Danio rerio: one gene and its partners. The protein of the gene in region 1 interacts with the protein of each later gene in a pairwise test. Links are inferred from orthologs where the notes say so. Each region holds a gene or a part of one and is shown in the gene's direction. Other genes may lie near its edges.

Evidence for each region.
Region 2: the proteins of setdb1b (region 1) and cdk4 interact in a two-hybrid assay, tested with the Homo sapiens proteins (2 studies listed by BioGRID and IntAct). The link is inferred for Danio rerio from reciprocal best matches to the Homo sapiens genes SETDB1 and CDK4.
Region 3: the proteins of setdb1b (region 1) and tsc22d1 interact in a two-hybrid assay, tested with the Homo sapiens proteins (2 studies listed by BioGRID and IntAct). The link is inferred for Danio rerio from reciprocal best matches to the Homo sapiens genes SETDB1 and TSC22D1.
Region 4: the proteins of setdb1b (region 1) and mrpl44 interact in a two-hybrid assay, tested with the Homo sapiens proteins (2 studies listed by BioGRID and IntAct). The link is inferred for Danio rerio from reciprocal best matches to the Homo sapiens genes SETDB1 and MRPL44.

Annotation. Positions count from the first base shown.
Region 1 is NC_133191.1:23,260,569-23,265,199, reverse strand, and holds the end of setdb1b (histone-lysine N-methyltransferase SETDB1-B), read left to right. Parts: intron 1-2,735; coding exon 2,736-2,853; 3' UTR 2,854-3,395; downstream 3,396-4,631. UniProt on the Homo sapiens protein: Histone methyltransferase that specifically trimethylates 'Lys-9' of histone H3. H3 'Lys-9' trimethylation represents a specific tag for epigenetic transcriptional repression by recruiting HP1 (CBX1, CBX3 and/or CBX5) proteins to methylated histones.
Region 2 is NC_133186.1:159,748-166,071, reverse strand, and holds the end of cdk4 (cyclin-dependent kinase 4), read left to right. Parts: intron 1-759; exon of another isoform or gene 760-965; intron 966-2,289; coding exon 2,290-2,507; intron 2,508-2,779; coding exon 2,780-2,915; intron 2,916-3,750; coding exon 3,751-3,918; intron 3,919-4,091; coding exon 4,092-4,201; intron 4,202-4,352; coding exon 4,353-4,403; intron 4,404-4,485; coding exon 4,486-4,621; intron 4,622-4,810; coding exon 4,811-4,885; 3' UTR 4,886-5,017; downstream 5,018-6,324.
Region 3 is NC_133184.1:20,414,745-20,421,296, reverse strand, and holds the start of tsc22d1 (TSC22 domain family protein 1), read left to right. Parts: upstream 1-2,344; 5' UTR 2,345-2,895; coding exon 2,896-5,495; intron 5,496-6,552. UniProt on the Homo sapiens protein: Transcriptional repressor. Acts on the C-type natriuretic peptide (CNP) promoter. Acts to promote CASP3-mediated apoptosis.
Region 4 is NC_133190.1:37,849,844-37,856,229, reverse strand, and holds the start of mrpl44 (large ribosomal subunit protein mL44), read left to right. Parts: upstream 1-2,020; 5' UTR 2,021-2,101; coding exon 2,102-2,274; intron 2,275-4,996; coding exon 4,997-5,219; intron 5,220-6,386. UniProt on the Homo sapiens protein: Component of the 39S subunit of mitochondrial ribosome. May have a function in the assembly/stability of nascent mitochondrial polypeptides exiting the ribosome.

The DNA of each region.
Region 1 (4,631 bases):
TATGTAAATTGAAATATCTGGTAGTTGATGACATGATAAGCAAGCGTGTGAATTTGTTGAAATAAAGAAGAAAAAACAAAATAAAAGGGATACATCGGTCATACAGCGCTGTTGTGGCTGCGGTGTGTCACATGACAAACATGATGCATCGCCACGGAAACATTAAGAATAAACAGTATAAAATAATGATTGCCTAAAGCAGGTCGCACACCAGAAGCGCCGCTTGGCAGTTCATTTTTCAGCCGCGCCACAGAGCTCCTTCTGATTAGTTTCATGTTAAATATCATTCAAATGTGTGCGTCTGGTGTGCGATACTTTAAACTGTCTTGTGCGCGGCGCCGAGCGGCGCTTCTGGTGTGCGACCTGCTTAATAAAGCTCACACCAGGGCCATATAGAATCTTTTAAACTTACCAGTGAAAAAGTTAATAACAGAAAGAAAGCAGCAGTGTATACTTTGCATTGCAAGATTTTCATTTTTCCTTTTGTTGTCATAGCTACACTGCATTTTCTCACTTAGTCATTTTGTCTAGTTTCCAGTTCAAAATCTAAAAAATCTTAAATCAAGATTACTAGACAAGAAAAACGACATGAGAAAATGAAGTAATGCTTAAAAGTTCTGTTTGCGATTATATCTCATTAAGATTATATTTCCTACCCCATTGGCAAATATTTTAACTTGTTTTAAGCAAACAATCACTTCATTTTAAGTTTGTTTTTTTTTTTTTCAGAAAACAAGACATTTTTTTATTCTATTTCATGTGTCTAGTATGTATCATGATTTAAGTTTGTTTTTTAGATATTTGGATTGAAAACAGCACAAAACTACTTCGTTTTTATTATTATTATTATTATAACAGCTTAGGAATGAGCTTTTTTGAATAAAGGATTGGAAATGAAGGCTTTTCTTGTTTTTCTTTTTTAATCGGAATTATCAATTAATAAAAAAAAGTCAACAGATTTATCGGTTCTCAAAATAATCGTTAGTTGCAGCTGTAAAAACAAGCAGACCCTAGTTGTATATATGCTTTAAAAAAAAACTCTTTTAATTGAGATGTATTGTCAGTTATATTCTGAATCAATTAGGTAGCTTTAAAAGTGTTATGAAAGGGGCAGGGCATGTCAGATACTTGAGAGCATTTAATTGGTCAAGATTTGATGAGAAACAGAAGTATGAGGTGACATGAAAAAAATTGTTGATCCATTTAATGTGGAAGTGACAAACTGCAAACGTAGGATGTTTATATTAGGTTTATTTTTTCTAAATATTAATTTTGTCACTGGTTTGTAGCACACTAGCTTATAGATATCTTTAAGACTATTATACAGTTAATTACATCAAAAAACCTTTATTTTCAGTTCACGGGACCTTTGAAAAAGTTTTTAAATAATTTACATTTGATTTGGTGATACCTGAAAAAAAATCCTGGGCCAGTATTCAGAGAGTAGGTGGTGTTTGTGACTGTTTGAATACATTTAAATATATTAGCATCTATACTATTAACACAATCCATTTCTAATGCATTTTCATCTGCCTCTGGAAGTGGTATAGGAACAAGCTCCCAATAGCTGTGTTTCCATCCACCTATTTCTATGTGCATAAAAAGTCAGTTGATGTAAACGCCAAGATACACACTGAATAGCATAAACTTTTTATTAACCTCTTAAGGCACAAGGTGTTTTTTATGCATTTTTCTCTTTGTTATTTGGGCCTATTAGAACCTAATTAAAATAAAAACCTTGGGTTCGAATTTACATAAAACACTTTTTCCTGAATTTTTTTGAATGCCTATTTTACATTGAATTTTTTTAACCTACTTTGACTCTCAGACAATAAAAACAATTTTTTCCCCCCATTTTGGACAGTTAAAAGTAGTGTTTGGGACATTTCATATGCTGCAAAACAGTTGCAAGATGACACTGTATGTAATAAAATATAAAAACATTCAAAGTATTTTAAATAGCCACTTAAAAGCTAAAATGTGCTGTCCACTTATGTGGACAATTAAGCCCTAGGAGGTTAAACTACGATGGAAACACTTTTACCGAACAAATTCCAGTATGTGCATTAAAAAAAAAGTCACGCGATTTTGTTATACAAGATATGTTGTAAGTTGTGATTTTGTTGTAAGAGATGATAAAAATGTGTGTGAATGGACAAACCATCACATTGTAAATCATCTGAAATGTTGTTTTGGTTATTATAAAATGCCTTAACCATTTCAGTATCAGTTTTATTATATTATTAATTACCTCCAGAACTGTCAAGAGCGTCTGTGCTCCGCATCTCAGACCTTCAAACACCACCACGCATTCATTGTGTGTCGGCATCATCTTCTGAGGTGCAAATAATTTATTAAATAAGGAAAAGCTTCACGCAGCGTCTCCTATCACTGTAAATTCTGTTTTACTGTTGATTTTTGGTGCCAGTTTATCAGGAAGTAACGATTTTGTTCTCTTTGACCCGTTTATGCGAAATTACTGTTTTGCGCATACATTTAATTGACATTTTTAATGGAAACATAGCTACTGTTTCAGACCCTGCTTAAACTTGTATTTAGCATAAGTGACAAGTACATCTTAATACCAGCTGTAAAGGCTTTAGATTTACGTTTGGTTTCTGCTTTGAGTTGTTCAACTAACGGCTTTTGATTGAGTTTGAACTGTTTGACTGTCAGAATATTAAATGATTATCAGGCTGCATGTAAACACTGCTCTTGCCTTTGTGTTTTTACAGGCGAATCCGAGCAGGGACGGAGCTGACGTGGGACTATAATTATGAGGTAGGCAGTGTAGAGGGCAAGGAACTTCTGTGCTGCTGTGGATCAACAGAATGCAGAGGACGACTGCTGTAACACACACTTGAACACATGCACTAAAGGTATCTCCTTTTGGGCCGCTGAACACTTACTTGGAGCTCCTGGAAGCTGAATTAGTACAGAGATGTCTGTGCTACTGATAAGAACTCTGCAGATACTAAATGAGAGGAAAATTGTTCAGGAACTTATTGAATTTGTAAAATAGGTGTACGTGAGCATGTCCTGCTTCACAGGGTTCCGCCTTAAACCCTAAATGGGCACATTGTGTCTATCACAATGTCTATCTGTGGTTTAGCAGTCCTTCCCATTAATATCCCTCTTTTTTCTTTTCTTTTTTACATGTATGCAATCATCAGTCTCAACACCCTTCTGTTTTGCTTGGTTATATTTGTCCTCTTTTACATCCTATGTAGTTTTGATAATGAGGACCCGAGTGTTTTGTTTTATCATTTTATTCATGGTTTTGTGTTATTGTATGCTAATGTGTAAATGTGCTTTTGTTGGTCAGTAAGTTTATGAAAACAGGCAAAATTGTACTTTTGTCACAATTTGAATTAAAGTTCTCCAAAGACCATAAATGTCATTTTCTCCTGTGGCCAGGGCTTAACATTTTTGATCATCAAAATCCTGATATTGATTCGTCAGGATGGCAACCGAAATCCAACATCTGATAAATGTCATAGTGGTAACGTCCACACAACTTCAAGCTGTAACATCATTAGACGTTGATATTTGGTTGATTTTAGGCTGGATGTTGGACATTGATGTTGGCCTGACATTGGGTTCTGATGTCAACCTAATTTTCATTGCATGTGGACGTCTAGTGCCTGCTAGGTGTTTAAGGCCATTTCAGTCATCACACAGTAAGCATCCATCATCTTCTCATTAAGCACATGGATCTAAAAAACCTCTTGAGTCAATGCGTGTAAAGATTTTGGACATCTTCTTGGACACTTATACCGCTTCCAAACCGTTATAAATTGCAGATGTATTGAGGTAGTTAGTTATGATGTGATTTACCTTCTATGTGCAATTTAATTATACAGGAATCACAGAACTGATTTTTCTAATCCTCATAGACAGGATAAAGAAGTAGTGACTGCAGGTTGAAGGAACGTAGTGGAGTAAAAGTACCAATACTTCAATAAAAATGTACTCAAGGGAAAGTAAAAGTACACAATTTTAAAACTACTTGTTAAATTACAATTTCTGAGAAAATCTAGTCAATTGCATTAGTTTGAGCATTTGTAATTTGTTACTTTACACCACTGCTAGCCACTCAGCATTTTCACTTGCCAGAATTTTGTTGTTAGGAAAATATATTTTATATGCATAAGTTTAACTTTGACACGCTAAAAATTATTTGATTTAGCCATAGTGTTGCATTGCAACTCATTTTTATTTCACATGACTGTTTAGGGTTCAACAGTAAGGATTTACCAAATTTAAAAATGTCAAAAAAAAGCCTAATATAGCTGTATGTATGCTCTTTTTATTTAACAAAACCTTTCTTTAAAAAAAAACAAAGCAATTGACATTTAAAAAATAAATATTGCCATTTATCTCAAACTATGTACAGCCGTCCGTCCTGGCTCACAGATCACCAGTTAACTACACTTAAATGGGGAGTTAATCCCCTACAGCAGGGGTCACCAATCCTGGTTCTGGAGGGCCGGAGTCCCTGCAGGGTTTAGCTCCATCTTGCCTCAACACACCTGCCTGGATGTTTCAAGTATACCTAGTTAGACCTTGATTAGCTCGTTCAGGTGTGTTTGATTAGGGTTGGAGCTAAAATCTGCAGGACACCGGCCCTT
Region 2 (6,324 bases), on another chromosome or scaffold:
TCTGAGTGTTGTGAAGAGGAGCGGCAGCATGACAGAGTGGGAAACGCTTCACTGATGCAGCTGTTTCTGAAATGTGTTGCAGGAAACATTCATTTATTTATTTTCTTTTCGGCTTAGTCCCTTTATTAATCTTGGGTCGTCACAGCGGAATGAACCGCCAACTTATCCAGCATATTTTTTACGCAGCGGATGCCCTTCCAGCTGCAACCCATCTCTGGGAAACATCCATACACACTCATACACTACGGACAATTTAGCCTACCCAATTCCCCTATAGCGCATGTGTTTGGACTGTGGGGGAAACCGGAGCACCTGGAGGAAACCCACGCCAACACGGGGAGAACATGCAAACTCCACACAGAAACACCAACTGACCCAGCCGAGACTCAAACCAGCGACCTTCTTGCTGTGAGGCGACAGTGGAACCCAAACTGCAAAGTGTTTATTCAGAAAACACAACATAAATGATGAGGAGCACATTAATCATGTGTGCTGAATTACCTGCAGTCAAACACAACTCACAGCACACGTGTTCACACTCACCCAATGTCTGCTGATGTGGGGATGCAGTTCAAGTCGTTTATTAGGGTAATATTGAGGTTTACTGGTGTAAGTGTGTTAGTGAGGTAAGTTTACTGGTGTAAGTGTGCTAGTGAGGTAAGTTTACTGGTGTAAGTGTGTTAGGTGACTGCTGGAAGTGTGTTGTGATTGGCTGAAGTGTGTGAGGGTCTAGTCGTGTCGCTCCGCCTTGAGATCAAACAGGAAGTGAGTTGAGACAGACTGTGAACAGGCCAGAGTTTCTCACACAAACTTTAATGAGTTAAACTTCTGAAATATGAACTGAAATCCTCAGTCAACAGCAAACTCCGCACAACAGCCCGCATCTGAGCGCCGCGGAGCAGAAGCGATGCGCGCTGCACTCTCATAAACTAGTTTAACTAGCTGTGCACGCGCGGAGAAACGTGGTGAGTGCTCAGAAGTGTGTGTGTGTGTGTGTGTGTGTTCAGTATATACAGTGCTCGTAATGACCCGTGTTATGATGTCTCGATTATGCTGGTTCAGCTCGGTGGATGTGTTTGATGACGTGTTGTTGTTGTTGTGTTGTTGAGTCTGTGAGTGTCGTGATTGTGACTGATGTTGTTCTGCTCCTCCTGGGAATGAGCAGCTCCGGCCAGCACTAACAGCGCTTTACCACAGTTTACCTCATTACAGCGGTGCAGGACACACTCCTCCAGCAGCAGCGGGTAAACACATCCTCACACTGCCGCTGAGCTGAAGAGTGCAGAACACGGAGAAGACAACTGCAGGAGCTCTACTGAACACACACACACACACACACACACACACACATCAATATAAGGAGCCTGTGTGGTGTCATATCAAAGAAAATGTACAGTTATTAAGAAAAACACGCTCTCTTATACTATGAACACAGAGTTAACCTCACTGAAACACTTCTACAATTATCACACACTTATAAACATTAAACAGGAGGGAGGATGAACAGCGCACAGTGGCCAGCTTTACTGATGCACCAAATATATATATATATATTTACATGTTGTGTGTGAGAAGCAGTAAATTACAGGTCATCATCATCCACCAAACACTCAAATATGGAAAATGTTTAAAAATAAAGTCAATTTTTGACATTTTAGGAAGTTTTTTGTGGGGAAATGTTGTAATGGTGCAGCGCTGGGCAGCAGAAATGCAGTGTTGCTTGCTTTACTGTGTGTGTGTGTGTGTGTGTGTGTGTGTGTGTGTACAGTTTATTTAGATCAATGACAGCCTACATGTCTGTATGTCACACTAATGATCATCAGAGAAGTCTTATATTAAGAAAGAGGAGAATCAAAGTGTGCGTATTAACACACACACACACACACACACACACACACACACACACACACACACACACAGAGTGTGTTCGAGGTTGTTCTGGCTCTAGTGATGGTGATGTGCTTTCAGGCTCTGGGTTTGTGTGTTTGTGGCCTGTTTACACAACCAGCAGCGCCACACAACTGAGCTGTTGAGTAAATGTGGAGAAACTGGTGTGTGTGTGTGTGTGTGTGTGTGCAGGTTTGTCTTAATACAGCTAAAACTGATGTTTCTGTCTTACAGCAGAGTCACACACACATACTGACAGCAGTGTGTGCACATGTACAGGTGTGTGTGTGTGTGTGTACAGGTGTGTGAGCGTGTGTATGTTTGTGCAGGTAATGATGCCTGCAGAGGAACTTGTGTGCGCGTGCATCAGGTGATGGCACAGTAATGTGTGTGTGTTTGCAGATGGCGCAGGAGGTGGGGCTGCAGTATGAGCCAGTAGCAGAGATCGGGGGCGGGGCTTACGGGACCGTCTATAAGGCTCGGGATCGGGACAGCGGGCAGTTTGTGGCGCTGAAGAGCGTTCGGGTGCAGACCAATCAGGACGGACTCCCACTGTCCACGGTTCGAGAGGTGGCTCTGCTGAAGCGCCTGGAGCAGTTCGACCATCCCAACATCGTCAGGTACACACACACAGTTACATACACACACACAATCACTGATACACACAATTACTCATGGGCACACACACACACACACACACACACACACACACACACACTGATCTCCTTCAGAACTGTAGTAGTTCTGCAACTGTTTGTTTGAGGTTCTTGTTTTGCTGAAAGATCTCGTAATCTGTGTGTCGCGTCCTCTGTGCGTGATGACGGGGTGTGTGTGTCTATGATCAGGCATTTTGTAAGTGTGTAATCTGTGTGTGTGTGTGTGTGTGTTTCAGGCTGATGGACGTGTGCGCGACCCTCAGGACGGATCAGGAGACTAAAGTGACGCTGGTGTTTGAACATGTGGATCAGGATCTCAGGACATACCTGGAGAAAGTTCCAGCACCGGGACTGCCTGTGGACAAAATCAGAGTAAGACACACACACACACACACACACACACACACACACACACATGAATATTTATTGTTTGACCAATAGTTCAGTTATATTGTGGGTTAATTGGTCAGAGCGGGGTCTTCTCAGCTGAGCGCATGCCATGTATAAAGTAAGCTGTGTCAGTGTAAGCGGGGCCTGAGTGTGTGTTGTTTGCGAGCGGGTTTGTGAGTATGTGTTGTTTGCGAGCGGGTTTGCGATGGGGGCGGGGCGGGGTGGAGGATTGGCGATGCCGGCTCAGCATCGTGTTGTCTATCGGCCATCGGTGATGAATGATGGCATCATCTGTATAAACGTGGTTGAGCTCAAGCGCATCAGATGAACAACCAATGAGAAGAAGAGGGCGGGGCATGCCAGACAGGAGAGAGCGTGTGATTGGTCAGGATATTTGATGAGAAACTGCTGTATGAAGTGATGTGCTTGATCCATTTAGGCGGACGAGACAAACTGCAGACGTTCTATCTGCTCAATGTGAATGTCGTCTCTGTTTCTGGATATTATAGATATCAGCACGACTAACACACTGATGCTCACATTATTTCAATATCACAGGGCCTTCATAATCCTTTATAAAGCATTACAGCATGCTTTAATTGTATTTATTAGACAGCTGTCTGGAGGGCTGATTGGTCATTTCTGACACTTCAACAGTGTGTTATTCCCTGATAACACCTGCTGAATAACATGGAGAGAGAGAGAGTGTGTGTGTGTGTTCTGCAGGTCCTGATGCAGCAGTTGTTGTGTTGTCTTGCGTTCCTGTAATGTGTGTGTGTGTGCGTGTGTGTGTGTGCGTGTGTGTGTGTGTGTGTAGGACCTGATGCAGCAGCTGCTGTGTGGTCTGGCGTTCCTGCACACTAATCGAGTTCTCCATCGGGATCTGAAGCCGGAGAACATCCTGGTGACCAGCAGAGGGCAGGTGAAGCTGGCGGACTTCGGGCTGGCGCGCATCTACAGCTGCCACATGGCACTGACCCCGGTGGTGAGACACTCACACACACACACACACACACACACACACACACACACACACACACACACACACACACACACAGAGACACACAATGTCCTGTGAACACACTGCTGACACACAAATACTGATGTGTATGTGTGTGTGTGTGTGTGTGTGTGTGTGTGTGTGTGTGTGTGTGTCAGGTGGTGACGCTGTGGTATCGCTCTCCTGAGGTGCTCCTGCAGAGCACATACGCCACACCAGTGGACATCTGGAGCACCGGCTGCATCTTTGCCGAGATGTTCAGACGCAAGTGAGTCTCAGCAGAGTGTGTGTGTGTGTGTGTGTGCGTGCGTGCGTGCGTGCGTGCGTGCGCGTGTGTGTCAGCGGCTGCAGATCTGCTGCTGTATGTCCTCTGGTTTGTGAGCTTGAGTTGATGATTCTGTCCTGATTCTCCTCTTCAGGCCTCTGTTCTGCGGAGATTCAGAGGCGGACCAGCTGGGGAAGATCTTTGCGTATGTCAAACACACACACACACACACACACATTCACACAGAGAGATGAGGTGTGTTATTGACGGATCAGTGTGTCCCTCAGGGTGATCGGTCTGCCGGCGGAGGATCAGTGGCCCACAGACGTCACTCTTTCCCACCACAACTTCAGCCCTCAGAGCCCTCGGCCAATCACAGACTGCGTTCCGGACATCACAGAGAAAGGGGCGGAGCTATTGCTGGTACGTTTACACACACACCGACAGATAACCCTGAGCACAACACACACAGCTCAGACGCAGGGCGCTGTAGGAGAGAGTGATGCTGCATCGGTCACCTGGATCTGCTGACCGCTCGTGTTCAGCAGGAGATGCTAAACGCATGAGTGATGTGAGAGACGCGCTGACAGCTCTGTGTTCTTGTGTTGACAGAAAATGCTGACCTTCGACCCGCTGAAGAGGATCTCTGCGCTGAACGCTCTGGATCATCCCTTCTTCAGCGAGTGATGCTGCTCTACACACACACACACACACACACACACACACACACACAAGCCAGCAGACTGAAGATAAACATTCCCTGAGTGTGTGTGTGTGTGTGTTCATCTGCTCTGTGATGAAGAGGAGCTTAAATCAGGGGTGTCAAAGTCAGTTCCTGGAGGGCCGCAGCTCTGCTCAGTTTAGTTTTCCCCTAATTAAACACAGCTGATCACACTAATTGAGTCCTTCTGGCTTGTTTGAAAGCTCCAGGTGAGTGTGTTGGAGCAGGGCTGGAGCTGAACTGTGCAGGGCTGCGGCCCTCCAGGAACTGAGTTTGACTCCGCTGGCTTAAAGGGTCAGTTCACCCACAAATCAACATCTACTGGCGCTTATCTCTCCCTCAGGGGGTCTGAAACCTGTTGGAGCTTCTCTCTTCTGTTCAACATGAAAGAAGATATTTGGAAAAATGTTGTAATTATTGACATCTAAAGTAGGAGAAACAAATAGTATATAAGTCAATGGTTGCTGGTGTTCAACATTTTTCTAAATATCTTCTTAATGTTTAACAGAAGATGGGTTAAAGACCCCGTGAGGGAGAGATAACCCTAAGTAGATGTCGATTTGTGGGTGAACTGACCCTTCAGTGCTCGTTCTCCATCAGTGTGATGTTATTAGTGTTCACAGAGGAGGATCTCTGCATGACGATCATGCTAAACAAACTGCCCATGTGACGAGTGAGGGAGTGAGTGAGGGAGGGAGTGAGTGAGGGAGTGAGTGAGGGAGTGAGGGAGTGAGTGAGTGAGTGAGGGAGTGAGTGAGTGAGGGAGGGAGTGAGAGAGTGAGTGAGGGAGGGAGTGAGGGAGTGAGTGAGGGAGTGAGTGAGTGAGTGAGGGAGTGAGTGAGTGAGGGAGGGAGTGAGAGAGTGAGTGAGGGAGGGAGTGAGGGAGTGAGTGAGGGAGTGAGTGAGTGAGGGAGTGAGAGAGTGAGTGAGGGAGTGAGTGAGGGAGTGAGAGAGTGAGTGAGGGAGGGAGTGAGAGAGTGAGTGAGGGAGGGAGTGAGGGAGTGAGTGAGGGAGTGAGTGAGGGAGTGAGAGAGTGAGTGAGGGAGGGAGTGAGAGAGGGAGTGAGGGAGTGAGTGAGGGAGGGAGTGAGTGAGGGAGTGAGTGAGTGAGTGAGGGAGTGAGTGAGTGAGTGAGGGAGTGAGTGAGTGAGGGAGGGAGTGAGAGAGTGAGGGAGGGAGTGAGGGAGTGAGTGAGGGAGTGAGTGAGTGAGGGAGTGAGAGAGTGAGTGAGGGAGTGAGTGAGGGAGTGAGGGAGGGAGTGAGTGAGTGAGTGAGGGAGTGAGTGAGTGGTGAGTGAGTGAGTGAGTGAGTGAGTGAGTGAGTGAGGGAGGGAGTGAGGGAGGGAGTGAGAGAGTGAGTGAGGGAGTGAGTGAGGGAGTGAGGGAGTGAGTGAGTGAGTGAGGGAG
Region 3 (6,552 bases), on another chromosome or scaffold:
ATGATCACTGCACTTGGGTCATTTTACATTTAGGCGCATGTTGTCAGTTCTTTATAAAAGCAACTCAAAAATTGCCAGTTTGATGTAATAATTCACAAGATATGTGTAAGACATTTGGTGCCCTGTCATTTTGAGAGCTGTCTGTTTATGAGATCTGCATACTATTAGCCACAGGACCATAGCCAGAGAGGGGCTTCAGGTCGTTCAAAGACCCATCCCTCACTGACAAAGGTCCAGAATTTTTTTTCATACATTAGCTCATTTGTCCTATTTTTACTCATATGCCATCATAAATAGTGAAAATAACCTATCGAAAAACCCATCAAATTACATGTTTTACAAGAGAGACTAGAAACATTGTGAAGCTCTATATTATTGTTGTTATTATTATCATTATTATTATTATTATTATTATTATTATTATTATTATTATTATTATTATTATTATTATTATTATTATTATTCAAATGGTCAAATTTTTTAAAGAGGAACGTTAAATGTGCTGAACAGTTTGTTATTTATATTTTGCCAAATAAATGACAATAGGCTTGTTTTTAATTTAAAACAGATTATTTTTTCCATAATGATATATAAATGTAATAAATTTGTATTTTAAAAAATAAGTATTTTTTTCATATTTCAAGCTAATCCGACTAGCCAATCCAGCTAAATGAATGCTTAAAATGTATTTAAATCTCATAATTAAATAGAAAATGTAGATTCATTTATTCATTCATTTTCTTGTCAGCTTAGTCCCTTTATTAATCCGGAGTCGCCACAGCGGAATTAACCGCCAACTTATCCAGCAAGTTTTTACGCAGCGGATGCCCTTTCAGCTGCAACTCACCTCTGGGAAAGAAAATGTAGATGTACAACTATAAAAAGGTTCACTTTTTGAGAACCACCACTTTCACCAGGCTTGCTGTGGGCCTGAGCTTAGCCCACAAAACAGAATATTTTTACATATAACAAGCATTTTTACACATAGATGCTCAAAAAATTAACAAGAGTCTTTAAAATCATTATCTGTTCTCTGGATTTGCCATTAGTAGGTCCGTTTGTGTTAAATGTTCATTTGTGTTGTAGAAGAAAAAATAGTACTCTGATAAGGTGTTTTCAGAATTACAAATAAGAATATTGTCATTTAGAAAATGTATTATATATTAAATTTTCACATATTCTATTACATTTTCACATATGACACAATGACTGGGTTTGTAAACAAAAATAAAAAAATCTGAGAACAAAAATCTAAGAACCAAATGATTTGTCAGACAAATTCCTTTCCTGAACAACTCACAAAAATCCACTATCAATCCATTTTAGAAATTGTTGGGATGAAGAAGTTTTTATTCACTGCATTTATCTTTTTATTTCAGAGACAGATTGTATAAGTTTCTGGTAGAATGTATAAATAATCAGTGTGGGTATAAATATCTGAGGTTTATAATGCGAAACTTGTTCCAGACAACAAAGATGGTATTCTCACAATCACAGCTGAAAGCTAAATATAGTTGGATCAGCACACATGTAATAAATTCCTGTTGTATTATAGTGTAGCTTGTCTGAAACAAAGCATATATTTTGAGTTCACATTTTGGATATTATTCATGTTAAAGTAAAACAGCTGAATGTTTTTTTTTTGTGTCTGCTGCACCTAGAACTTTAGTTCTCTGCTCCCCAAACAGCAACAATCAGATTGTGTGAAAAAAAAAAACTGTGTCAGTGCAGATGTGTTTGGTTGCTCTTTTCTGTCTGTGGAAATATCTGGGTTCTCTTTCAGACGAGTTGTTTTGTAAAAACAGAACAAATCTCTGGACTATGTTGACAACATTGTTGTCACAAGGTCTGTTTGCATCTTGTTGATGTAGCTGGCCTGTATAGGCCAACACACACAATAGCAGCTAACTTAAAATAGCGTTTTGCTTAATCGTTCATATGTTTAATCTGTAGTAGGTTATATTTTATAATTAATTTATGTTCAAAATTAAATCTGAAGTCGATTTTTATAAATATAAAATTTTATACATTTAAAACTGGGAACCAGAAATCTATGCCCTGCCTTTTTCGTCTCTCCTTCAATGTCAAATAATAATAACCACGGCGGACAAAAGATGTTATTCTGAGTGTTTGCTGCCACAGTTACCGAAGGCTATAATAAGAAACACCCCTCAACCAACACAGTTGGTCGCACTCGGCTCCACTCGGGCCTCTTCGGAACTCTTCGTCGACCGTCTCCTGGAAACCCCCCTCCCTCCTCGCCTCCGCCCATCCTCGCCAGACTCTCTGGGCTTTATGTCTGGCCGGGTGGACGTGAACTGCCATGCGCGGTCGCCATGTTATCGCGCTCTCCTCCCCTTTTCGGGGACTCGTCACAGGCTCATAGCACTAGCACAGGCTACATTACAAGGAGGCAGCTGGTGAATAGGAGCAGAGTGGGAGAGAGACATTGCGCTAACACAGGAATAAAACAAAAGAAAGCACGGGATGGAATAAAGCAGGACAGCGCTGAGTTGCTCGCTTTCTCTCTGTCATCTGACGCCGGCTGGAGGACTTAGTTTCGTGTGATTTCGTGCTCTGGTGACTGCGATACAACAATTGAAAATGCGCCTGGCAGTTTGAACTGTGATGGGGAGAAACCGTGTCGTTATAAGGTTGGATATTAATCGCCTCGGCCGTCTGTGTCGACTCCTGCACGCTTAAACTTCACCGATATGGTGTGCTGAGTGATTTAGTGAGGATATACCTTTGAAAACAACAGCCGAAGCGAATCCGTGTCGGCTAGCTCGCTAGCGACTGTTAACTTAGCATTGGCATTAGCCTGCTCCTCATGGTGGACATTTAAATACACCTCAAGTGGAATTATTGTGGCAGTTAGAAGAACGTGTTGGTTTTATGTGGAAATTACTCGAACGGCTTGAAGTTGCTTTCCCAAAAGAGCTTGTTCTCTTGAGCTGCGTTTATAACTTTGTCAGAGACTATACTCCAGCAATGAATCACCACGAACGATCCGGAGACTCCGGCAGCGCCCGAAAAATGGTTTACCCCATGAGTTTACCCAGACGGGAGAACAGCAGCAGCACAGTAGGTGGTTCCTCTACATTGACAACTTCAGCAAGCACCAGCCTTAATAGCAACAACTTGATGCTGGCGGATGAATATTCCCCACCAGTGCTGATTCAGTCTCAAACGCAGACTGCGTCCTCGCTCGGGCCCCAGAACCCTCCGCATAGCCTGAGTATCCCCTTGCAGACACCCATGTTACCCCAAACGTTGCCCACTGCAGTTGCACAGATGAAGAAGAAGAGTGGCTTCCAGATCACCAGCGTCACCCCGGCGCAGACATCTGTGAGCACCAACAACAGCATTACAGAAGACACAGAGAGTTGTGACGACCTGGATGAGTCCCACACAGAGGACTTGTCATCCTCTGAAATCATGGATGTGTCTCTTCCACGGGCCAACAATTCAGGAGGTCCTGAAAGAAGCTCCTCTGAGGAGACGCTGAATAATTTTCATGAGGCGGAGACCCCTGGTGCCCTGTCACCCAACCAGCCACCCATTATAACCCAAGCACACCTGCATGGCACCATGGTTAACGGAACTGTTCACCACCACCATCACCACCACCACCATCATCACCATCATAATCCTGTTTCCTCTGGAAAAACCCATCCTGCTGGAGGGACACTGATTGGGGTACCTTTGGGTGCCCCGGTCACATCTGTGGTGACCTCAAGTTCGGCTAGCACAGGCCAGAAAATGCCTTCAAATGTGGTGGGATTGATTGAGAATGCCTCTGTTGGCACAACTAGTGCCATCGGACAGCCTTTGGCTACTCTCGCCTCTGGAACTGGAGTGATTTCTGTGACTTCAGGTGCCACGATTAGTACTGGTAATACTTTAACTAATAATGTTTCCGTGTTAAACTCTGCCAGTGTGCCTGTTGTGGGTGGCAAGACTACCAATAGTAGCAGTGTAAACTACTCCTCTGCTTTGAATAGTATTAGTAACCAAACCCCAAACTTGACCCACGTTCCCAGTGGAATAATCGGCATGGGCATCACCGCTGCTGCCACGGTTTCCGGTAGTGTTGCGTCAACAGGTGGAGGGCAAATGGGGCCAGCTGTCATGGGGCAGCATGCAATGCCTGCACCCTCTGTCCCAGTGATGAGCGCTCAGCCTCAGCAGGCCCAAGTGCCTACTCCTGCCTCCACCAGTTCACGTTTCAGAGTGGTCAAATTGGACTCTACCTCTGAGCCTTTTAAGAAGGGTAGATGGACTTGTACAGAGTACTATGATAAGGAAGCCCCAAATGTGGCATCCTCTGAAAATGCCCCTAGCACCCGAACAGTGGAAAGTATCCGTCAGTGTGTGCCTGAAAGTGTGGCGGGACAGGACCGAGACACAGTCAGCGGGAGCTCTGTCAGCAGCTCAGCTAGCCATTACACTGAAAGTCTGGGCAGCGGTGAAACGGGCGGCCCCTCTACTGTGAAGCAGACCTTCCAGCAGCCCATGTCTCAGATGCAACCCCAAGACTTAGTTCAAGTGCATCTTAAAACGAATGCAGCAGCTCCGATGCCGGCAACAGCAAACATTCAGCAGCAACCGCCTGCATCTATCGGAGGATTGCAGACCACGATTGTTCAATCGTCTGCACCTCTACCCTCTCATATGCCCAAACTGACATATGCCCAAGCAGCCCAATCCCCTCCTGCTCAAGCTCTGCCTGTGGTGACCCAGCAGCAGATGGGCTATCCGCCCGCACAGCAGCCAGCTGCACCAGCCCAGGTAGCACCAACACATGTTAACCCCTTAAGCCAGGGAGGCAGCCTGCCATCTGACTTCTCCCAATCCAAGCAGATCCTGAGCACTGTGCCACCTGGGTCAACAAAAACTCTGCCCCACCTGTCCGCCTCCATCCCTCCTGTGGCTCTCGCTGGTAATGGTCAGATGATCACACCCTCCTCGCAGCCCCCTACTGCTCAGCCACTTCCGCAAGGGCTCCTGCAGCCACAACAGACACCCGCCCCGCAGATGGTCCAGGTTGTGCCGCAGCTGGTGCAGTCCACTGGCACCACTCTTATACAGCAGACACCAGGCCAGCAGCTCACCTCACAACCCTCCATGGAGCAGCAGCAGCAGTCACAGCTCGGCAGTCAAGCCCGTGGCACCCAGTTCGTCCCAGCCGTGACCTCATCAAGCGTGCCTCCTAACATTCAAAGTGATCCCCAGTCCAGTTTGTTTCAGAACGGCTCAAAGGAGACTGGGCCGCAACCTGCTGTTAGCACCCGGCCCTCGGTGATGCCGCTGGAGGATGCCCAGCTACTTCTGTTACAGCACCAGGCTCTGCTCGCACAAACCAAGCCAGCCGGTGGTGAAAGTGCCTCCCAAACCGGTACCTCTCGTGGTCCAGAGGGAAGCAGTGGAGTCAATGCCTTATCCGCCTCGGCCAGCCTGCTGAAGAGTTTACCTGTTGATGGAGAGGAGGATGGGTAAGTTCCACTGCTTGTTTTTTTTAATTGCATTGCTTATTTCAGTTCAATTTAGTTTGTAATTATTTCAGCTTTATTAAAAAAATCACACATGCAGCTCAGCATGGTGATCAGCATTATGCTTTAATCAACTGCTATCAACAAATTGTAGTGTGCAGTGAATATCACAGCAGGGCGATGGCTTTCCACAGCATAGCTAAAATCGCAAGCATAGCTTTTTTTGTAACCTAAAACTGTAGACTGCTAGACTGTATCTTTGGTATTACAGACAGAAAGATTATGCTTTCACCTAACAAGAATTTCGGTCTGCTTGGGGGGAAAAAGGCACACATGAAATCACTTGATAGTGCAGTATTTATGAACTTGACATTTCCTATTGAGACAGGAAGTTGAGCCTGTAGTCTTTTGTTTACCTCACAGCCTCAGACTTTTTTTTAATGCTAGTCGGATGTGTGTGTGTGTGTGTGTGTGTGTGTGTGTGTGTGTGTGTGTGTGTGTGTGTGTGTGTGTGTGTGTGTGGGTGTTACTGATAGGGACTTTTTCATTCTAGAAAGTTGGCCTGTACAATATATTGTTTCAGCATAGATTTTGCAACATGTGACTCTGCAATATTCACACTGCAGGATGTGCAATGTTGAACTGGGATTATAGTTGACCAGACACTACAGTGGAGTCAATGCAAAGTTTAAACTTAGAGTGAGTTTTTATTTGTGTGTGTTTTTCAGGCTTGTGACAGTAAATCAGGTAGTTATTTGTAGCTTAAACATTAATTGTATACAGTGCTTCCCACAGGTTTGAAATATACTTGCGCTGGTCACCGGATTGAAACACACCTTTTACCCACATCAAATAAATATTTAATGAGTGACAAACAAAACATAATTAAATTTTTAACAATAATTTTATTTATGAGATTATTTTACACTTTTTTTTTTTTAAATTGGTTAAAATAAGAAAGACTGTTGGAAAAAAAATCTACTATTTAGCTTACTTTTTTGCTATTCAGGAGCCATGTGCACACGCTGACAGGGTAAAATCTTTTTCTCGCTCTCTTTCA
Region 4 (6,386 bases), on another chromosome or scaffold:
ATATATATATATATATAATTAATAATAAATATAATACTGTTAGTATTTTGAACATGGAAAATTAAAAGCATATGTTTTACTTGTTCATATTTTAGTAATTACAAAAAGTATTACAGCTGGAAAATAAGCACTATTACTGTTTTATGCTAGCTCTCTTCAATTCTCACATGGTCGCCCACTGAAGCTAAGCAGTGCTGTTCCCTATCACATGGGAAAGCTAGGTTGTAGAAGTCGTGTTAGTGAGACCAGCAAGGGGCGCTCAACCTGTGGTCTGTGTGAGCCTAACGCCCCAGTATAGTGAAGGGGACTCTTTCGGATGAGACGTTAAACTGAGGTCCCGACTCTCTGTGGTCATTAAAAAACCCAAAATGTCCTTCAAAAAAATGAGAAGGGGTTTAACCCCAGCATCCTGGCCAAATTTGCCCAATAGCCTTTGTCCATCATGGGCCCCTAATCATCCCCATAGCATATATGGCTTCATCACTCTGTCTCCTCTCCACCTATCAGCTGGTGTGTGGTGTGTGTTCTGGCACAATACGGCTGCCGTTGAGTCATCCAGGTGGATGCTGGATACTAGTGGTGGATGAGCAAATTCCCCCCAATGTGTAAAGCGCTTTGAATGTCCAGAAAAGCATTATATATATGTTAGAAAATATAATTATTATTTAATTGTAATTTAATTTCTCTATGATAATTTTTATATTGTATGGCCTAATTAAAGTAAAAAGGTTATTTATATAAAGTAATGGTTATAGTTTGAATAAGCGAACATGCAAGAACGTTTATTTTTGTAATTAATATGTTCTGAATAATGTCAACACTAAAACTTAAGCTAGCATTTATAATTGATATACCTTGGAATAACATGGTACCACCACAGTACTTTTTATATCGTACACAAACACATGGATGTATATTGCCACTGTTAAAACAGTATTTAATGACAAAATAAATATATGAAATTAAATGTCATGCAGAAAAGCCATTACATTTCAATTTAAAAAAAAAAAAACATTACAATAGACATTACACACAATTTAAAATCATTCTTCATATTGTCTAAAAAAACACACTGTTCTGTGATCATATAGTGACTGAAATTAAATTCATTATGCCAGGATATTTTTATATTGTTTGCACATTCGATTTTCAGTTATGACTTGCACCACCTCAGATGTTTTTTAGTTTAGTTTTGTTTTGTTTTTAAGGAACAGCATATGACATTTTACATAAATAATTTAGATGCCAGGGGGAGGAAGAATTAACATAATACAAAATCTACTTATGCAGTAATTATATTAATACATTATAAAGTTTACACAATTTTAAAGTGTGAAGTGCTTTCTAGTAGAGAGTCTCTGATACTGAAAATAAAAGCGTATTTCAGTCAACAAAACTTTAAATTAGGATTCTTTTGTATTTATTATTGCTCTTATTTTGCTTTATTAACAAAAACCAGGGAGCGACATGGTGGCTTATTGGTTAGCACTGTTGCCTCACAGCAAAGAAAGTTGCTAGTTGGAGTCCTGGCTGAGTCAGTTGGCATTTCTTTGTGGAGTTAGCATATTCTCCCCATGTCGGTGTGGGTTTCCTCCGGATGCTCCGGTTTCCCCCAAAGACATGCGTTATAGGTGAACTAAACTGTCCACAGTGTATGTGTCTGCAATGAGAGTGTATGGATGTTTCCAAGTTCTGGGTTGCAGCTGGAAGGGCATCCGCTGTGTAAAACATATGCTGGATAAGTTGGCGGTTCATTCTACTGTGTCGACACCTGATAAATAAAGGGGCTAAGCCAAAGGAAAATGAATGAATGAACAAGAACCAGCATTTAGTTTCATTATACAATTTAATCACTTCACAATCCTTAACAAGAAGGAATAAATGAGATAAGAAAAATAAAATAATGATAAAAAAAAAGAGGGAGTGGGTGCATAATTATCAATTTACATTAAAAAAAAATTTTTTTTTTTCAAATGTAGTTATTTACAAAAGTTAAAACACCAACTAGGAGCTCCGGCCAGGAGACGGCGCTGTGGACAGTTTGCCCCCGGGTTTCAGTCGCTCGTTCGCGGAATGCGCAGTGTGTGAGGTCGCAGCTGTCATGGCGGCGTGCAGGGCGCTCGTGAGTCGTGCCGTTTTGCCTTTGCATTATCATCATGTGTGCAGAGGAGTGATGCTCACCCAAATCAGAGAGAAGAAGAGATGGATGAAGGCCTACATGTTCGTCATGCGCAAGAAGTTGAAGCTGGAGGGACCTCCAGCTCCAAAGCCACGGTCAGTAAAGCATCTCAAGGCCACTTATGAGTGAGACACAGGGCTGTGACACAAATCATGTTCAACCGCCTTCCTAGGATGCATATATGGGTGTCAAGAGGGCTTAAGGATTGAGGTAAAGTTGGTTTTATATTCGCACATTCGTTCAGTGACAACTTGTGACAAGCTTCTTATGTTTACCATGCTACTTTGAGTATTGGGTCTGGTCAATCACAGGTAGGTATGACTTGAAAACAGCATTAGCAGCAGCATTATTTATTTGACTGAACAATACTGTACTTTGATAGTCGTTTGGCTGCTAATATGATTTCACTATTTAGAATTTGCAAACAATATTTTGGTGAAATTATAATAGTAAGCTGAAAGCCCGAATGTGATAATATAATACCAACTTTACCTCAGTTGCTTAAGAGTGTACGTTATCTGTGTTGACCAAAAAAAAGACAGCTCACAGGAAATTGAGACACAGCCAATGAGTACAAATGTCCAGATGCACTAAACAAATGTACTAAACACAGTTAACTATTGTTATTTCACATTTAGTGTTCAATAGTTCAACAAAGAAGTAAATATCATTCTAATTGTAGTAAAGCTATATGCATACCATCTGTCTAAATAATTTGCGTTATAGAGCCATAGAGCTGTTTGTTTCAATATTAGTGGTTAATTTAAGTAGATGATTTGGCTTGAGCAATAAAAATAATATTTACAAGAATTTTCAATTGTTAGTTATAGACCATTTCCATGCGTAAACATGAAATTCAATTCAATTCAATTGTTTTTTGTCATGTGCACAGTAAGGAAACACGTTTCCCTGTACAATGAAATTCTTACTTTGCCGTCCACAATGGTTTTTGTTTTCCGAGTATTCAGTTAGCATTTCATGTATGCATTTTAAATATGAATAACTTTGGGTGGCATTTTTTTATTTTGCGATAAATATTGCGATATGAATACAATTTCACCAGATGACTTAATATCTCTGTTCGAAAAGAATTTATAATATTAGATCACCTGGGATGATTTTGCAGTGGGAGTGCATCTCCATAAAATCTAATAAGCAATCTATACATTTTTTGGGTCTCCTGACACATTTTCACAGTTGTCTTTGCTATTTGCTGTGCATTTCTGTATTTGCATGTGTTGTGAGTGTTTTTATGCACTTGTTTAGTCAGAGATTGATTACTTAATGTTCAATATTTGCATCTCCATCAAATCTAGTAAACAATCTATAAACTTTTTGGGTTTACCCAACTTATTTTCGTTGTGGTTTAAGCTATTTGCAGTGCATTTCTGTATTTGCATGTGTTGTGAGTATTTTCTATAAATACAATACAGAAAAATATACAATTGAAATAAAGTGTTTCAGCGTTTACCGAGTCTTTCAGTATTCAAATACAGTAACTGAATGGTACAAAAAAAATTCAATAAACTTAATCAAAGTTAAAAACACAAATGGTGCAATTTCTTATACCTGAATACTTTTAAAATAATTATACAATCACAGGCATCAAAAACACATGCAAGTGATAAATTATAATACAAACTCAACATTAATCATCAATAAGCTATCTTACTAAATTAATAATACAGGTTTGAAAGAATATAAAGATAAATTAATGGGGGAATTATCTTTTGTAAATGATTAAAAGACATCTATATTAATAAAATTGTATTAAATAAAATTATAAATACACTACCTGACAAGTCTTGTCGTCAATCTTGACTGCTAGTTGATCATTTAGAAATGTGGCAGAAGGTAGATTTTTCTGATGAATTATGTTGAACTGCATCCCAATCATCACAAATACTGCAGATTACGTATTGGAACCTGCATGGACCAAAGATTCTTACAGAAATCATTCAAGTTTGGTGAAGGAAAAGTCATGGTTTGGGGTTGCATTCAGTGTGGGGGCAAGCGAGAGATTTGCTGAGTGGATGGCAACATCAACAGCCTGAGGTATCAATACATTTGTGCTGCCCATTACGTTACAAAGCACAGGAGGGGGTGAATTCTTCATCACGATAGCGCTCCTCTTCATACTTCAACCTCCACATCAAAGTTCCTGAAAGCAAAGAAGGTCAAGGTGCTCTACTATTGACCAGCCCACTCACCAGATATGAACATTATTGAGCATGTCTGAGGTAAGATGGAGGAGCAGGCATTGAAGATGAATCCAAAGAATCTTGATGAACTCTGGGAGTCCTGCAAGAACGCTTTCTTTGCCATTCCAGATGACTTTATTGATAAGTTATTTGAGTCATTGCAGAGATGTATGGATGCAGTCCTCCAAGCTCATGGGAGTCATATCAACTCTTTTTGCACTGCACCATGACTTAATATTCTATTGTGCATTATTTATATTAAATGACAAGACTTTTGTCTAAGCAAAGTCAGACCTTACTGTCCTAATTAAATCATTAAAAATCAAGGCATGATCAGTTTTATTTTGGTAAATTAAGCATAATCTAGAGGCCTTTGCCTTTCATATAAGCCTCGTCTGATACCAATTGATCAACTAGAAGTCAAGTTATTATTGGTTGTTCCTAAAACTTGGATAGGCAACAAGGCTTTTGTCAGGTGGTGTATATACATTTTGTGTGCAAGTGTGTATGTGTGTTTCACTATAATTGTATTGATATTGATGTTTTGTCCACATCACCTCTGAAATTATGTCTCCATCCATGGCTTTAACTCTCTTGTGTCTTGTCTTTTGATCAGCTCTGAACAGCCGAACTTTGATTACCATGCTGAGGTGGAAGCTTTCGGAGTCCGTCTGCAGGAGAGTTTCTCTGTGGATTTGCTGAAGACGGCGTTTGTGAATTCCTGTTACCTACGCTCTGAGGTGGAGAGGAGGAAAGCGCTGGGTTTGGATTCAGAGTCCGCCATCCTTAACCTGAAAGACAACACTGAGCTGCGTGATCACGGTCAACACTTCACTACGGTAAGCACAGTCAGATCACAGTTGCCACGCCAGACAAAGCAGATCTATGCCCGGTTGCCAGATCTGTTTTGTTGATATCTGTCTAACATCAAAACTGTATTAATTAGGCTTTTATCAAAGAGGAACTTGGCTGTAAAATGCAGAAGCAGGAGCCAACGGAAAGGTAGTAAAGAAAAGTAGAGTTAAATCATCTGAGTTGCAAGATTTGAACAGATTTATGCATGTTGAAAATCAACGTTAGAATCTGTTAAAACAACGTTAGTATCTGTTAGCTTTTACTGTAAGGGAAAAACTGGCTAATTTTGAGCTTTACCCCTCTAATTTTTTAAAATCTTTCAGCTTTAAAATCTCTGTCAGGCAGCGTTACTTTTGGTGATGTAGCATAAGCCTCTGTGTACTCCAGTGAAGTGTTAGCTGTCTAAATATTATTCATGAGACTGAGTTTTGTTATTCTATAGGAAGAGCTGCTTCTGAATAATTCAGTCAGTCTGACTTATGAAATCAAATATCCCTCAAACATACACAATATAATTTAAACAACAGAGGTTAAACCATAGTTATAACACTAAATATATGATTAAATTAACCCTTGTGTATTGTTGAAATGCACTACCCTTTCATAATCTTTTTGGCTGTTTTTACCCCATTGACTTTCATTATAATGACATTTTTTGATTGCAAAGCCATGACAGCATATAATCCTGCATTCTTGATTGTTGGTGGTTTTCCCTGTTGAGAAGAGGTCAAATTTGTAATTTTTACTGTTAATCATCAGTTGACACTATTATCCCTTTAGAAAAACTTCTATGGAGAACAACAACAAATGAAAGTGTGTATGCATAAATACACACTACCTGACAAAAGTCTTTTCATCGATCACAGTTGTAAGAGCAACAAATAATAACTGGACTTCTAGTTAATCATTTGGAAAACTGCCTGAAGGTAGATTTTTCTGATGAATTATTTATTGAACTGCATCCCAATCATCACAAATACTACAGAAGGAACTAAGATTGGAACCTGCATGGACCCAGGATTCTCACAGAAATCAGTCAAGTTTGGTGAAGGAAAAGTCATGGTTTGGGGTTACATTCAGGTTGTGGGGCTTGCTAGAGATCTGCAGAGAGGATGACGACATCAACAGCCTGAGGTATCTATACATTTGTT